3 linked regions of the Saccharomyces cerevisiae S288C genome follow. The main gene of each other region encodes a partner of the protein of the gene in region 3 in a complex. Each region holds a gene or a part of one and is shown on either strand. Other genes may lie near its edges. A codon is read from its position in the direction of its gene.

What was found. Proteins that work in one complex are often made in the same cells at the same time.
Region 1: the proteins of GET3 (region 3) and GET4 are in contact, whole or in part, in a crystal structure (PDB 5BWK), measured with the Saccharomyces cerevisiae proteins. Residues at the interface, in NP_010183.1 of Saccharomyces cerevisiae: Val5 (codon at 2,346), Phe230 (codon at 1,671), Pro233 (codon at 1,662), Asp234 (codon at 1,659), Glu253 (codon at 1,602), Gln257 (codon at 1,590), Ile260 (codon at 1,581), Ser261 (codon at 1,578), Asp263 (codon at 1,572), Asp265 (codon at 1,566), Val266 (codon at 1,563), Asn267 (codon at 1,560), Glu304 (codon at 1,449), Leu305 (codon at 1,446), Tyr306 (codon at 1,443), Glu307 (codon at 1,440), Asp308 (codon at 1,437), Phe309 (codon at 1,434); in NP_014807.3 of Saccharomyces cerevisiae: Ala11 (codon at 2,340), Lys12 (codon at 2,337), Thr16 (codon at 2,325), Arg19 (codon at 2,316), Lys23 (codon at 2,304), Gln34 (codon at 2,271), Thr35 (codon at 2,268), Ile39 (codon at 2,256), Arg42 (codon at 2,247), Tyr43 (codon at 2,244), Arg45 (codon at 2,238), Ser46 (codon at 2,235), Ser48 (codon at 2,229), His51 (codon at 2,220).
Region 2: the proteins of GET3 (region 3) and GET2 are in contact, whole or in part, in a crystal structure (PDB 3ZS9), measured with the Saccharomyces cerevisiae proteins. Residues at the interface, in NP_010183.1 of Saccharomyces cerevisiae: Val5 (codon at 2,346), Ser11 (codon at 2,328), Pro233 (codon at 1,662), Phe246 (codon at 1,623), Leu249 (codon at 1,614), Tyr250 (codon at 1,611), Glu253 (codon at 1,602), Arg254 (codon at 1,599), Ile256 (codon at 1,593), Gln257 (codon at 1,590), Ile260 (codon at 1,581), Asp265 (codon at 1,566), Val266 (codon at 1,563), Asn267 (codon at 1,560), Gln301 (codon at 1,458), Glu304 (codon at 1,449), Leu305 (codon at 1,446), Tyr306 (codon at 1,443), Glu307 (codon at 1,440), Asp308 (codon at 1,437), Phe309 (codon at 1,434), His310 (codon at 1,431); in NP_011006.2 of Saccharomyces cerevisiae: Lys9 (codon at 2,055), Arg10 (codon at 2,058), Leu13 (codon at 2,067), Arg14 (codon at 2,070), Arg16 (codon at 2,076), Arg17 (codon at 2,079), Lys20 (codon at 2,088), Phe21 (codon at 2,091), Ala26 (codon at 2,106), Arg29 (codon at 2,115), Leu30 (codon at 2,118), Lys32 (codon at 2,124), Ile33 (codon at 2,127), Thr34 (codon at 2,130), Gln36 (codon at 2,136), Ala37 (codon at 2,139).

What each region holds. Positions count from the first base shown.
Region 1 is NC_001147.6:641,963-645,999, forward strand, and holds GET4 (protein GET4), read right to left. Parts: upstream 2,371-4,037; coding exon 1,432-2,370; downstream 1-1,431. Other genes in the region: YRR1 (Yrr1p), read right to left, coding at 1-30; polyphosphatase DDP1, read left to right, coding at 779-1,345; dynamin-like GTPase SEY1, read left to right, coding at 2,604-4,037. UniProt on the Saccharomyces cerevisiae protein: May play a role in insertion of tail-anchored proteins into the endoplasmic reticulum membrane.
Region 2 is NC_001137.3:324,743-329,061, reverse strand, and holds GET2 (GET complex subunit GET2), read left to right. Parts: upstream 1-2,030; coding exon 2,031-2,888; downstream 2,889-4,319. Other genes in the region: threonine ammonia-lyase ILV1, read right to left, coding at 1-585; YER085C (uncharacterized protein), read left to right, coding at 922-1,443; YER084W (uncharacterized protein), read right to left, coding at 1,611-1,997; UTP7 (Utp7p), read left to right, coding at 3,126-4,319. UniProt on the Saccharomyces cerevisiae protein: Required for the post-translational delivery of tail-anchored (TA) proteins to the endoplasmic reticulum.
Region 3 is NC_001136.10:280,819-285,892, forward strand, and holds GET3 (guanine nucleotide exchange factor GET3), read right to left. Parts: upstream 2,359-5,074; coding exon 1,294-2,358; downstream 1-1,293. Other genes in the region: serine/threonine protein kinase DUN1, read right to left, coding at 1-1,030; BUG1 (Bug1p), read left to right, coding at 2,601-3,626; U4/U6-U5 snRNP complex subunit SNU23, read right to left, coding at 3,763-4,347; proteasome regulatory particle lid subunit RPN6, read right to left, coding at 4,573-5,074. UniProt on the Saccharomyces cerevisiae protein: ATPase required for the post-translational delivery of tail-anchored (TA) proteins to the endoplasmic reticulum. Recognizes and selectively binds the transmembrane domain of TA proteins in the cytosol.

The sequences.
Region 1 (4,037 bases), on a different chromosome or scaffold from region 3:
TCCCAACAAAGCATCGCTTCTTCTTTTCATTGTGACGCTATTCTTATTGGCACGGCTGAGGGCAATAAACTTTCCCACTTTCTCGTTGATCTTGTTGTTCCTTTGATCTAACTTTTCTCTTGTAATTCCGAATTTTTGGCGTTTTGGTAATTCCAAGGGGAAGTTGTCTATTACATACGTCTAGTGATGTGGAATACTATAAATGTCTTGGTATTGTTATCCTTTTCCCCGTATATCAGCCTCTACCCCATTAGTAATATGGCATGGAACCTTTTAACGTTTTTCTAATTTCCGCGGATTTAACTCCGTTCACTATGATTTCTGCCAGTATGATACTGGCAGAAATCTACATTCGCTATATATAAAGAGGATATACTGGTAATAACTACAGCTTCCATGTGAGCTTAAAACGATCATGCTCATCTTTCTTCATCTTGATAGAGATTGGTAATGCTGTCATACTCCCGTGATTATAAAGCAGAATGAGAAATATTGAGACAACCGTAAAAACAGCTACTGCCCAGAATTTAAACCTTCAAACTTCATCATCAGAAAGGTATACTGTGTAAATAATGCGTAAATAGTAGGAGCATGGTGTTCTCTTGTCGTTGAAAGAACATCTGCGGCGAGCACGTGCGGCTTAATTCTCAAACGTCTCGCGGAGGTAAATAGTGTAAAGGGAAGCCTCAACTTTAAGACATGAAATCACACTGAAATAACGCCTGAAAGGTCAGGAACAGTGAGTACGTAGGAGTATAAGAGCGTGGGGAAACACAAAATGGGCAAAACCGCGGATAATCATGGTCCAGTACGTTCTGAGACAGCACGTGAAGGAAGAGAAAACCAGGTTTACTCACCCGTTACAGGTGCAAGATTAGTTGCTGGCTGCATATGTTTAACACCCGACAAGAAGCAAGTTCTCATGATTACTTCTTCTGCACACAAGAAAAGATGGATTGTCCCCAAAGGTGGCGTTGAGAAAGACGAGCCTAATTACGAGACGACTGCCCAACGAGAAACTTGGGAGGAAGCTGGTTGCATAGGTAAAATTGTCGCCAATTTGGGTACAGTTGAAGACATGAGACCCCCTAAGGACTGGAACAAAGACATTAAGCAATTCGAGAACTCTCGAAAAGATTCAGAAGTAGCAAAGCACCCGCCAAGAACCGAATTTCATTTTTATGAATTAGAGATTGAAAATCTCCTTGATAAATTTCCGGAATGTCACAAAAGACATAGAAAGCTATACTCTTATACAGAAGCTAAACAAAACTTGATAGACGCCAAGAGGCCTGAATTGTTGGAGGCCCTTAATAGGTCTGCTATCATTAAAGACGACAAATAGCTAGCACATACATATATATGTATATACGTCATGGTCGTCAAGCCACCGCAAACATATTTATCTATTCCTTCGCAAATATGCTCTTTTCACTTCGATCCGCCCAGGAATCCCGACATCATGTCTTGTAGGAAATTCGTTTGTTTAGGAGCAACAATATTGAAATATTCCTGGCCCAAAAATTCTAACTCACTTTTGTAAGCTTGAGAAAAATCTAAATAATGGTTCTTTAAATTCAAGAAATAGCTCTTATCCTTAGTCTGACAGGTAATTAGCAACAATTGCAAAAAATTTAGGTCGGAATAATCTTCAAAAAAAACTATTTCATAACCATTTTTATCAATTTTCTCGTACTTGGGGTGAAATTTCTCAATAAATCTTTCCAAAAAAATGTCTTTTGATTCATGTGCAAATGATATGTTAGAGATGAATAAATAGTTGAAAACCAATCTGCTGAAGAACTCAGCCACCGTGCTATCTTCGATATCATCAACTTGGCATAACCAGTCCCATAGTAAATCGACATATTTGATCATTGAATCATGTGTACCTAACATAAAATATCTCTCAGCTTCATAAACGAAATCTCCCTCTAATAGTTTGCTACCAATGGTGTTGTGCAAGTAAGGATCTCCAAATTTGTATTCACTAAATTTGATAGACCAATTGTTCATACCAGTAATAACGTCCTTTAAATTGGGCTCGCTAGGATCCAATTCGGCTATTAATCTAACCAATCTAGCAACTGAGATGTCATCAACTTTAACTTCCGCTAAATCATAAACTTCTAAAAGATAGAAGATCAAATCCGTGCCTGAACCGCCCTGCTTCGCCTTTAAAAATGAAAGGGCCCCTTGACTAATTAGTTCTATGGCATGCTCGTATGATTTACTTCTAACATATCTATTAGCAATAGTTCTCAACGTTTGATGCGCTTCGTAATAATCTCCAGCTTTGATCTTATTTTCGAATCTTTGTAAGGTTTTAGCGAGTTTCGCTTGTACAGCATTAGATTCAGCAGGAACCATAGCTTGTTATTATTATTTATGTCCCTTTATGATGTTTACTTGGTTGTTTTACCGCACATGTTATTATTTCATTTTTTTGACTTTCCTTTCACTTTTTTTCCCATTGTTTGTTACCTTAACGAAGAGCGACAAAACGAACAAAATACTGAAAGGTGTATTTTGATGGTAAATAATTATTGACTTATTTCAACAAACGGGCTACTAACTCACTCGACGGTTGACATACTTTAGTCATGGCTGATAGACCTGCTATTCAGTTGATAGATGAAGAGAAGGAATTTCATCAAAGTGCATTACAATATTTTCAACAATGTATTGGAAATCGTGATGTTGGTCTAGATTACCATGTCATCTCAGTTTTCGGTTCTCAATCGAGTGGTAAATCGACTTTACTTAACGTCTTGTTTAACACCAACTTTGATACCATGGATGCTCAGGTGAAAAGGCAGCAGACTACTAAAGGCATTTGGTTGGCTCACACTAAACAGGTTAATACAACTATTGAAATCGATAATGATCGTCCAGATATTTTTGTGCTAGATGTTGAGGGCTCCGATGGTTCAGAAAGAGGTGAAGACCAAGATTTTGAGAGAAAAGCCGCTTTATTTGCCATTGCAGTATCTGAAGTTCTTATAGTTAATATGTGGGAGCAGCAAATTGGGCTATATCAAGGTAATAATATGGCTTTATTAAAAACAGTTTTTGAGGTCAACCTTTCCCTATTTGGCAAGAATGATAATGACCACAAGGTGCTGTTACTTTTTGTAATTAGAGATCATGTAGGTGTGACTCCACTCTCGAGTTTGAGTGATTCCGTTACGAGAGAATTGGAAAAAATATGGACAGAGTTAAGTAAACCTGCTGGTTGTGAGGGTTCTAGCCTGTATGATTATTTCGATTTAAAGTTTGTCGGGCTAGCTCATAAGTTGTTGCAAGAAGACAAATTTACCCAGGATGTCAAGAAATTAGGTGATTCGTTTGTGATGAAAGGTACGGAAAACTATTATTTCAAACCTCAATATCACCATAGGTTGCCATTAGATGGTTGGACTATGTACGCAGAAAATTGTTGGGATCAAATTGAACGTAACAAGGATTTAGATCTTCCAACTCAGCAAATTCTGGTTGCTAGATTTAAAACTGAAGAAATATCTAATGAAGCTCTAGAAGAGTTCATTTCAAAATATGATGAATCGATTGCTCCTTTAAAGGGTAACTTGGGATCTTTAACATCTCAGCTAGTGAAGCTAAAAGAAGAATGTCTGACAAAATATGATGAACAAGCATCGCGCTATGCAAGAAACGTTTATATGGAGAAACGAGAAGCTTTAAATACAAAGCTGAATTCACATATTTCAGGTACAATTAATGAGTTCTTGGAATCATTAATGGAAAAGTTATGGGACGATTTAAAATTGGAGGTGTCTTCTAGAGACAAAGCTACTACCTCTTTTGTAGAAAGTGTGGCGGCAGGTAAGAGTAAGATTGAGAAAGAATTTAACGAATCAATGGAGACCTTCAAAAAGTTAGGGCTACTAATATCAAACGAAGAGATTACCTGCAAATTTTCCGACGATATTGAAGAAAGAATCAAGCAACTACGTGATGCTGAATTGAAAGCAAAAATCGGTCGTATTAAAAAAAATCTGGTTCCCGAATTAAAGGAT
Region 2 (4,319 bases), on a different chromosome or scaffold from region 3:
CTCTTCAGCCAATTTGGCACATTCAGCCTTAGCCTCGTCAAAATCGTTACCATATAGGACGACTTGAGACCCTAATCTCGAGACATTTTGATACTTAATAGATGGTGTACAAACAGGCATAACGATAGTAGCAGGTATTTTCAAGTGTTTAGCAGCAAAGGCCACACCTTGGGCATGATTCCCAGCTGAACAGGCAATAACACCCTGGTTTCTTTGAGAATCGTCCAACTTGGCAATCATGTTATAGGCACCACGAAGCTTGAAAGAGAAAACAGGCAATAGATCTTCTCTTTTCAAGATGACATTCGTGTTTAGACGGGAAGACAAACCTACACCTTGAGAGATTGGAGATTCATTAATAACATCGTATACAGAGGACCTTAAAACTAAACGGACGTAATCAGGGGTGTTATCAGTTTGCAGCTCATCCAATTTCAATTCAGAGTGTAGTTTTATCAAGGAAGGTGACAGGTGTTGTCTGTGCAAATGAGCCTTTAGTCTCAAAAGGTTCAATCCAGACACTTTGGACTGTTTACCTTGCCGAACAACCGTACATAATGGTTGCTTTAGTAGAGTAGCTGACATCACTAACTTTGTGTAATTGACTTAGTTTAAATGTGGCTTGTAGCACTCACACAAGAAAGAACTCAAAGCAGCAACAACAAAAGTTTTCAAAGCTGATAATGAAGTATCTGCAGACATATGTTTGAGATGACTCTTTTTCTTTGATATTTTTTTTTTCTTTTTATGCGATTCCAAATTTGCTACCCGCTGCGCTTTTTCTTTTTGCCCTTCTTATTTTTTCTTTTTCGCGTCAATTAAAATTGAACGTCACAAAATAGCAGAGATAATATGCAATAAAGAGAGAAGAGTTAAAGAGTCTTGGTAGTCAGGAAAAGGTTTTCATATTCATCAGACATAATGAATTTCAAGGAGCCGCTAGTGAATTTTTTAAAATGCGTCTTGAATAACATAAACTCGGCATTTTCGCATAGGATTGATCAATTGCAATTGCAGCTGTTGCGGGAAACAAATATCTTGAGGGTTTTGAACAGGGGAATAGAGAGACTGTTTAGCGAGAATCCAAGGACCCATTCTGTTTCCCGTATCGTGGTGGAAAAAGATGTGGGCTGCAGAATTGGACGATATGTGGAAGGTTCTAAATATGAACTGGTAGAGTCCAGGGCGAAAGAAATACAAATATATTATGAAAGGATGGTTTTTGAAATAACACAAGAATTGAAAGGGGACAAGCGGGTGTTTGCCTTGATTGCAAATCTTTCCCAAAGATATAGCGCAGAGAGGAAAGAAATACGAAATGTAAAGGTGCATGGTGGGCGGCCATGTAATGAGAACGAATTCCAGGTGATTCCGATAAGATTCAAACCTATTAATTTGGAAAGAAGAGCACGACTGATAAGAAAGAAGAAGACTATTAATTAAAAAACTTACATACAAATACATGCCTTACTTTCGATGCCAGCATCTGGAAAGGGAAAGGCAGGGGCAGAGGGACATATTACTTATCTATTTATGCATAATTTGTGTTATATATTGGTATGATAACTTGATGTTAGAGAATGTGCTATTCTGTTTCTTGAAAATCTGAGTTAAGGTTGATACCGCTTTGATACAGCGGGTGTGACAGGTTTATCTGTGACGGTGACAGGGGCAGTAGAACTACTGGAAGCCGCAAAGTCAGAGGATACTGTGAGTGGTGGTGCCCACAACGTGGATGGTCTCAGTTTGACCCTAGGACTTGCAGAAGATCCTGTGGGAAAATCCGGGGAAGGCGGATGGCTACTTGGGTTGAGCATTACTCTCTTTGTGAAAAGGGAGGGAGGGAGAAGTTTGGGGATGAGATGGTTGCTCTTATAACATAAGGTAAATAAAAATTTGGGGTGACCCCGCCGTGCGCGTTTGCTGGGACAAAAGAACAAGAATAGGAACATGAAAAGATTTGAATGATATGGATATGTACAAATGAGCTCTTCCATGTTTGTAGCATCAGCAACGTAGCTCTAGGAAATATGTCTGAATTAACAGAGGCGGAAAAGCGCAGGTTACTAAGGGAAAGGAGACAGAAGAAGTTTAGCAATGGAGGTGCCAGCTCCAGGCTTAATAAAATCACCGGGCAGGCAAGCAGTCATTTGAACGCAGAATCACCTTTAGACGCTCCTAGCGCTGCAAAGACCACACCACCTGCGAGTGTGCATTCGGCTACTCCAGATATCAAAGAAGATAGCAACGTAGCGCCCCAATTGGACCTATTGAAACAGCTCGCTGCCATGCAAGGCCAAGGTACGGGTAAAAGTACCCCTCAGGACTCCTCTACGCCCGATCTACTCTCACTACTAAGTTCTATGAACACTGGCATGCCCAGTGCAGAGGGTACACCATCGTTTGGTCAAGCGGCTCCTGCAGCCCCGATCAATCAAGCTGCTTTGGACTACCATGATTACTTGCTGAACAGACTGAAAGCCTGGACCATTCTTGTGAAGTGGGTCTTTTTCCTACTACCCTATCTATACCTAATCACAAGACCAAATTCCTCTGTGTGGCCGGCCTATGCATTTACTCAATCAGCTTGGTTTGCACCTTTGCGGAACCCATCGAATTTCACTAGAATTTTTGCCACGTTTGAGTTCCTTTCCATATCCATCTACTACCAGCTATTGAAGAATGTGGAACACAAGAGCAAGATTAAAAATTTACAAGATACCAATAAACTTGTCAAGTTAGTTTCACTGGTGCCCGAGGGAGTAATTCCCGTCGCCAACCTGAAGGGGAAGCTAATTACCCTTTTGCAATACTGGGATCTATTGTCCATGCTAATCACTGACATTTCGTTTGTGCTAATTGTCTTAGGCTTATTGACGTACTTATAAATTCTAGATAGTTCAGTAATATAATACATTGTTCTCATAACCCGACATTATTCCCGGCTTTCTTTTCAGGTAATTGAAAAAAAAAGAAAAACGGTAAGAAAATTTTCTAAGCGATGAGTTCGTGAAAAATCGATGTATAGAACTGAATTGGAGTTCAATAGTAAAAAAAAATCCATATATAGCATTAAAAACTCAGTATCCTAGCTTTAAGAAACTGAACCAGATTCCAACGACACAATGGGTCACAAGAAGAACGGTCACAGACGCCAGATAAAAGAAAGAGAAAACCAGAATAAATTTGAACGTTCCACATATACTAATAATGCTAAAAATAATCATACTCAAACAAAGGATAAAAAACTAAGAGCAGGCTTGAAAAAAATAGACGAGCAATATAAAAAGGCGGTATCTTCTGCTGCGGCAACAGATTACCTTTTACCCGAGTCCAATGGTTATTTGGAACCTGAGAATGAGCTAGAAAAGACTTTCAAAGTGCAACAATCGGAAATCAAATCGAGTGTGGATGTCAGTACTGCAAACAAAGCTTTGGATTTATCTTTGAAGGAATTCGGCCCTTATCATATAAAATATGCAAAAAACGGTACGCATCTTTTGATTACTGGCCGCAAAGGTCACGTAGCATCTATGGACTGGAGAAAGGGACAACTTCGTGCTGAGCTGTTTTTGAATGAAACCTGTCACTCAGCGACATATTTGCAAAACGAACAATACTTTGCTGTAGCGCAAAAAAAATATACATTTATTTATGATCACGAAGGTACAGAATTACATCGTTTGAAACAACATATTGAGGCAAGACATTTAGATTTTCTACCATATCATTACCTGCTCGTAACTGCCGGTGAGACAGGTTGGTTGAAGTACCACGATGTTTCCACTGGCCAGTTGGTCTCGGAATTGAGGACCAAAGCTGGGCCAACTATGGCAATGGCACAAAACCCATGGAATGCTGTGATGCATCTAGGTCATTCAAACGGTACAGTATCCCTCTGGTCACCATCCATGCCTGAACCATTAGTAAAATTACTTTCTGCCAGAGGACCAGTGAACAGCATTGCTATCGATAGAAGCGGGTATTACATGGCAACCACAGGGGCTGATAGGTCGATGAAAATTTGGGATATCAGAAACTTCAAGCAACTACATTCTGTGGAAAGCTTACCGACGCCAGGAACAAACGTTTCCATTTCAGATACTGGTCTATTGGCATTATCTAGGGGCCCTCACGTTACGTTGTGGAAGGACGCTTTAAAATTAAGTGGAGACAGTAAACCGTGCTTCGGGTCCATGGGAGGGAACCCACATAGAAACACCCCTTACATGTCACATTTGTTTGCCGGAAACAAAGTAGAAAATTTGGGATTCGTACCATTTGAAGATTTACTAGGTGTAGGCCATCAAACGGGTATT
Region 3 (5,074 bases):
GATTTTCGCGCCTTGTTATATTTAATAAGATATTTTCTGGCTTGATGTCTCTGTGAATGATGTTTTGCTCATGCAGATACTTCAATCCGGTAAGTAACTGTTTGAATAGAGCTTTGGATTCATCCTGTCTCAAACATGTTTTTCTGACGATTCTTTCAAATAGTTCGCCATCGTCGATCTTTTCCAGTACCAAATATTTTTGAATCTGAGATTTGCTGATTGGCTCTACAAAACTATCTAGTAAGTTGACAATGTTTGGATGTTGCACTCTCATTAGGATGTTAGTTTCCTCCCTAAATTGTTTATTCTTTTTTTGGTCGTCATTTTGCTGAGCGTGGAATATTTTCACAGCTACTTGCTGACCAGTTTTTTTGTTTTTGGCTTCTTTCACCAGGGCGTAGTGCCCTGCACCTAATTCTTTACCTAATAAATATTTATCAAAGAACGACACAGGCCTTGTCTTATTCAGTTTTCTAATTGCGGCACTCGTTGTAGCATTTTGGCTACTTGTAGCACTTATTTGCGGTTTCTTGAAAACTTCGTCGTCGTTCTTATATGAACGACTTTCTGAACTTACCTTTTCATCGTCATTTTCGATGTCAGTAGAAGATGAAGATGCGTACTTGAACAAAAAGGAGCAACTTTTGCCAAAGACAATTCTGTCACCATTCTTAAGGATGTAGTCTTTCTTCACCAAACGATTACCATTAATAAAAGTTCCGTTTCTGCTCTTATCGATAACATTAATCAAATTTCTTTGGAAATTATCCACATCCATTTGCAGTAGATGAAACTCAGCATGGAAAGTCGAGATGTCAGGCTCACTCAATATAACGTCGCACGACCTACTTCTACCGATTGTAGTAACGTTTCTATTTGTTATTTCCACTTTTTGCTCCTTTCCGGGTATTAAGTTCACCAGATGGCCCAGACAAGTGTATTCTGAGCTGGGCTTATTACTTCGTTGCTGTCTTTTGAATGAAGAGTCAGTTACATCACCAGAGTGCTCTCTTTTCGTGGACAAACTCATCTTCACTATAATTGCCTTTTTTACTGTATGTTAAGCCCCTTTACTTGTTACTCTCGACTATAAAGGGTTCTCATTTCCTCCTTTTTCAACAATATCTAATAATTTTCCAAAATCATTTGAAAAATACCATGGAAATAAAATGGAAAAAAGTAAACAAACGCGTCGCGTCACGTAATTTTTTTCTTTTCACACACATACCATCGTATTACTATTTTTTCTATGGTTATATGTCGTATGTATCTATTTATGGTATTCAGGGGCTTCTATTCCTTATCTTCTAACTCATAAATGACTTTGCCATCAGTAATAGGGTTATATTCTTTGTTTAGGAACTGTGAGAACTTTGTTAAGTTATTTAAGCCTCTGATTTCTCCAGCACATAATGGCATTTTAACGACATGGAAATCTTCGTACAATTCGTCGATTTGGTCCAAGTACTTCTTTTGCATCTTCCATCTTGCCTGACATCTCTTACAGTTGTGCTCTTGATCGTTTTCAGCAAATAATAATTGGTTGACAATGATGGAATTAACGTCCATATCGTAGGAAATCAATTCCTGAATTAGTCTTTCAGTTTCATATAAGGATAAGAATTCACTGATACAAACGCAAACAAAAGTCGTTAGGTCAGGATCCGTGAATTGTTGTCTGATGGTCTCGACATTAGCCTTTAACTCGTTCAATTTTCCAGAGATATCGACATTACCTGCGCCCATAAAAGAGTTTAGCATTGGGCCCAATTTGTTGGTAATTTCACCGAACTTTTCCAAAAGCTTGGATAAAGTATTTGGTAGTTGTAGAAATCTTAATGTGTGGCCAGTTGGAGCAGTGTCAAAAATAACAGTATCGAAGGTTTCACCTTCGCCCTGTTCTTGCCTTTTAATGTGCTTCATGACTTCCATGAAGGATAAAGCTTCGTCGATACCAGGGATGGAACCGGTCAAATCAGCAAGAGCACCACCTTGAAGCAAGCTTCCTAGATCGTCACCTTGACCGTCACTTCCGTTATTGTTAGCGCGTGAAACTGCCATGTCGTTCATATCCTTCAAAGCAGCGGATGGATCGATTTCCATACATGATAGATTATTCATGCCTGTCACCTTTCTGGCGTCTTTACCAAATTTCTCACCGAATGCATCACTTAAGTTATGGGCAGGATCAGTAGAGATCAGTAGGAACTGTTTGTTTGGTTGACTCAAAGCCATTTGGATAGCAATGGAACATGATGAAGTAGTCTTACCAACACCACCTTTACCACCAACGAAAATCCACTTATGAGTGGTAGAGGTAATTAAAGAGTGCAAATTAGGTTCCACGGTTAAATCCATAATTACAATGTGATGATCTTCTTGTTCTTGTCGTACGTTTTCCTAAACGCTGCGTTGGCTTCCCTCAACTTGTTTGAAGTTGCCACCGTTTTATCCATTTTCGCTTTTGAAAAAAAAAAAATGGTTGAGAATCCCCAGCACTATTAATTAGTACTATTGTTACGAAGATCTTGTGATAAAAAAGGGATGTAATAATTTGCATTGAACCAACCTGAATTGAGCAAGTTTATCATATAGTTACAATGTCTGAACAGGAGTCTGATGAAGTTAAGCGTATGAAACAATTGGAAGAGGCTAGAAAGAGAGTAGAAGAATTGAAGAAAAAGAAAAATAAAAAGAATAAAGGTAAGAAGAATAAAAATAGCAGTGCCACAGGCTCTATAGGATCTGAAACTCCTGATTTAGAGGGCACACCAGGCGAAGAGTCCACACAGGAGGAGACTGTGAAAGCAAATTCCACCAAAAGTGAAAACAACGATCAAAATGACGTGGATGAGGAGAGTGAAGAAAAAGAAATAGAACAGGTTAAATCAGATCCTTCGGGCACAACAGAAAAAGATATTGAGGAAATAAATAGTACTTCATCAAATGTGGGAAAGGATGATGCAGAAAACACAAAAAAAGAGGAAGTTCAAGAAGTTATAAAAAATAACAACGATGAGCAAACAGCAGATGCCGGAAAGACCATAGAACCACAAGAGGAAAAGAAAATTGTACAAACTCAAGAAGGAAACGAACCTTCAAATACATCAGAAGCAGCAGACGATTTATTTGCCAATGACGGCAATGAAGAATCTGACTTTCTCACCACGATTAAAAAGCAAAAAGAAGAAGATGAGTTGACCAAACTAAGGGCGGAAAATGAGAAACTCACACAGGAAAATAAACAACTGAAATTTTTGAATATGGAAAATGAAACTACTGTCGATGACCTACAGGATCAATTGCAGGAAAAAGAAGACATCATTAATGGTTTACAAAACGATTTGCAAACCGCAAGGGATGAATTAATTGCCGCAGTAGAAAAATTAAAATTAGCAGAAGCTAAGGCAGCAAGAAATACCACAGCAACTCCTATTCAATTTGCGGATTTCAACACTTCAAGCAATAATCTAACTCCCTCACAATCTGTAACCAATTCTGGTACGCAGGTGGCCCACGGGAATAATATGGAAGTGGATCGCGTTATGCTGAACAAATGGCGCCAGTGGAACGTAGACATGACCACTTGGAGAAGTATTGGTTCTGGCCCAATAATGGAATTTTGAGAATGAATATTTTCGCGTATATATTTTAATTAAGGGTTTATATACATAAAAGATATATCTAATGATCTGATCTGAGTCCCGACTTTTTATATGTGCTCTATGCTTGTATTATGCTCATTTATCTTTACTTGGTTTCTCATTTTTTAGAGGTGGCAAAATTGGAAAATCCCATCATTTGACTGACTTTTGATTCACTCTCAATAGAAGGCTTAGTAGCCACTTTCTTTGCTTTCTCCACATCTGTGTCCAAAAGCCTTTTCCTCTTGGACTGAGTCTCCATAGAACGCACCTCTACAAAATCCTTTATCAAGTTATGATAGCACAACTCAAACTCCTCTTGCGGTACGTCATCATTATCTCTTATATCTATAATTAACGGTTCATCAAACAAATTTTCAAATTTTATTGCATGGACCTTGTGGTTGAGATGATCAATGTATTGTAAAGTGTCTTTGAAGGTTAGGTTACAAATATCGCAGTAAAATCCGAACTTCTTTCCCCTCTTGAAAGACGATAAGCTCTCTGTATTTGCTGTTAGTTTCCTTTTATTTAGGTCTTTTAGCGAGCCCTTGATTAAATGATCGTAATTTGTATATTTGGATTTTAAAGCTTGTAATTCAATCGGTGTTAGCGTAGCCTTTAAGGATCGATCGTCATAGCCGCTTCTAGCCTGCTCAGCATACTCCTCTCTATCCCAAGTTCTTCTGCCAAAATTCGACATTAGCTTTCTCGAATTTTTGTCAGCTAAGGCTTGTAGGAACTTCTGGTTTTGATGAACTTTCGCATCAACTGTTTTCTATTTAGCGGCGCATTCGATTAAACTTCTTCCTTTCTTAGGAGAAAAAAAAGAAAAATCATACTTATGTATTTTCTGCATTTTATAAGTTTATTTAGGAATTCTTACTCTGGTACTTGTGAGTATACATACATATATATACATGTAAACCTAATACAAGACACTTGCCTTTTCAAATAGTTGATCGACGACTTTATTTAGTTGCCCGACTAATTCCAATGCAGAGTCGTACGTGGCATCCTGATTCGGAGTTTCGTAAACGTAAAGCCAACCATTACCTTGATCCAGAACACCGTAGAATATCTTATCTAGTATCATTTGGGAGAGCTTTCCTTCAACTTGTTGAGTATCCAGACCGATTATTTTGGAAATGTGGGATATTTCCACACATTCAAATGGCTCAATAATCTTACACAAATTGGACTCTAATAACGTGTCGTATAATGCATTGAAATGGGATCTTGTTAGTTCATCGCCCATTAGTTCCTTCTCGTATTGCTTTAGCGCCGTGTTGAAGTCTAAAAGCGATCTGTTGTTATAAGCCTCAGCGACAGCTTTCATGGCATCAATGCCTCGGGACTGGTACGTTTCCTTTGTGTATTTTGCGTTTAGGATGTTTTTTACGTCATCAATAAGGTTCAGCATGATCTTA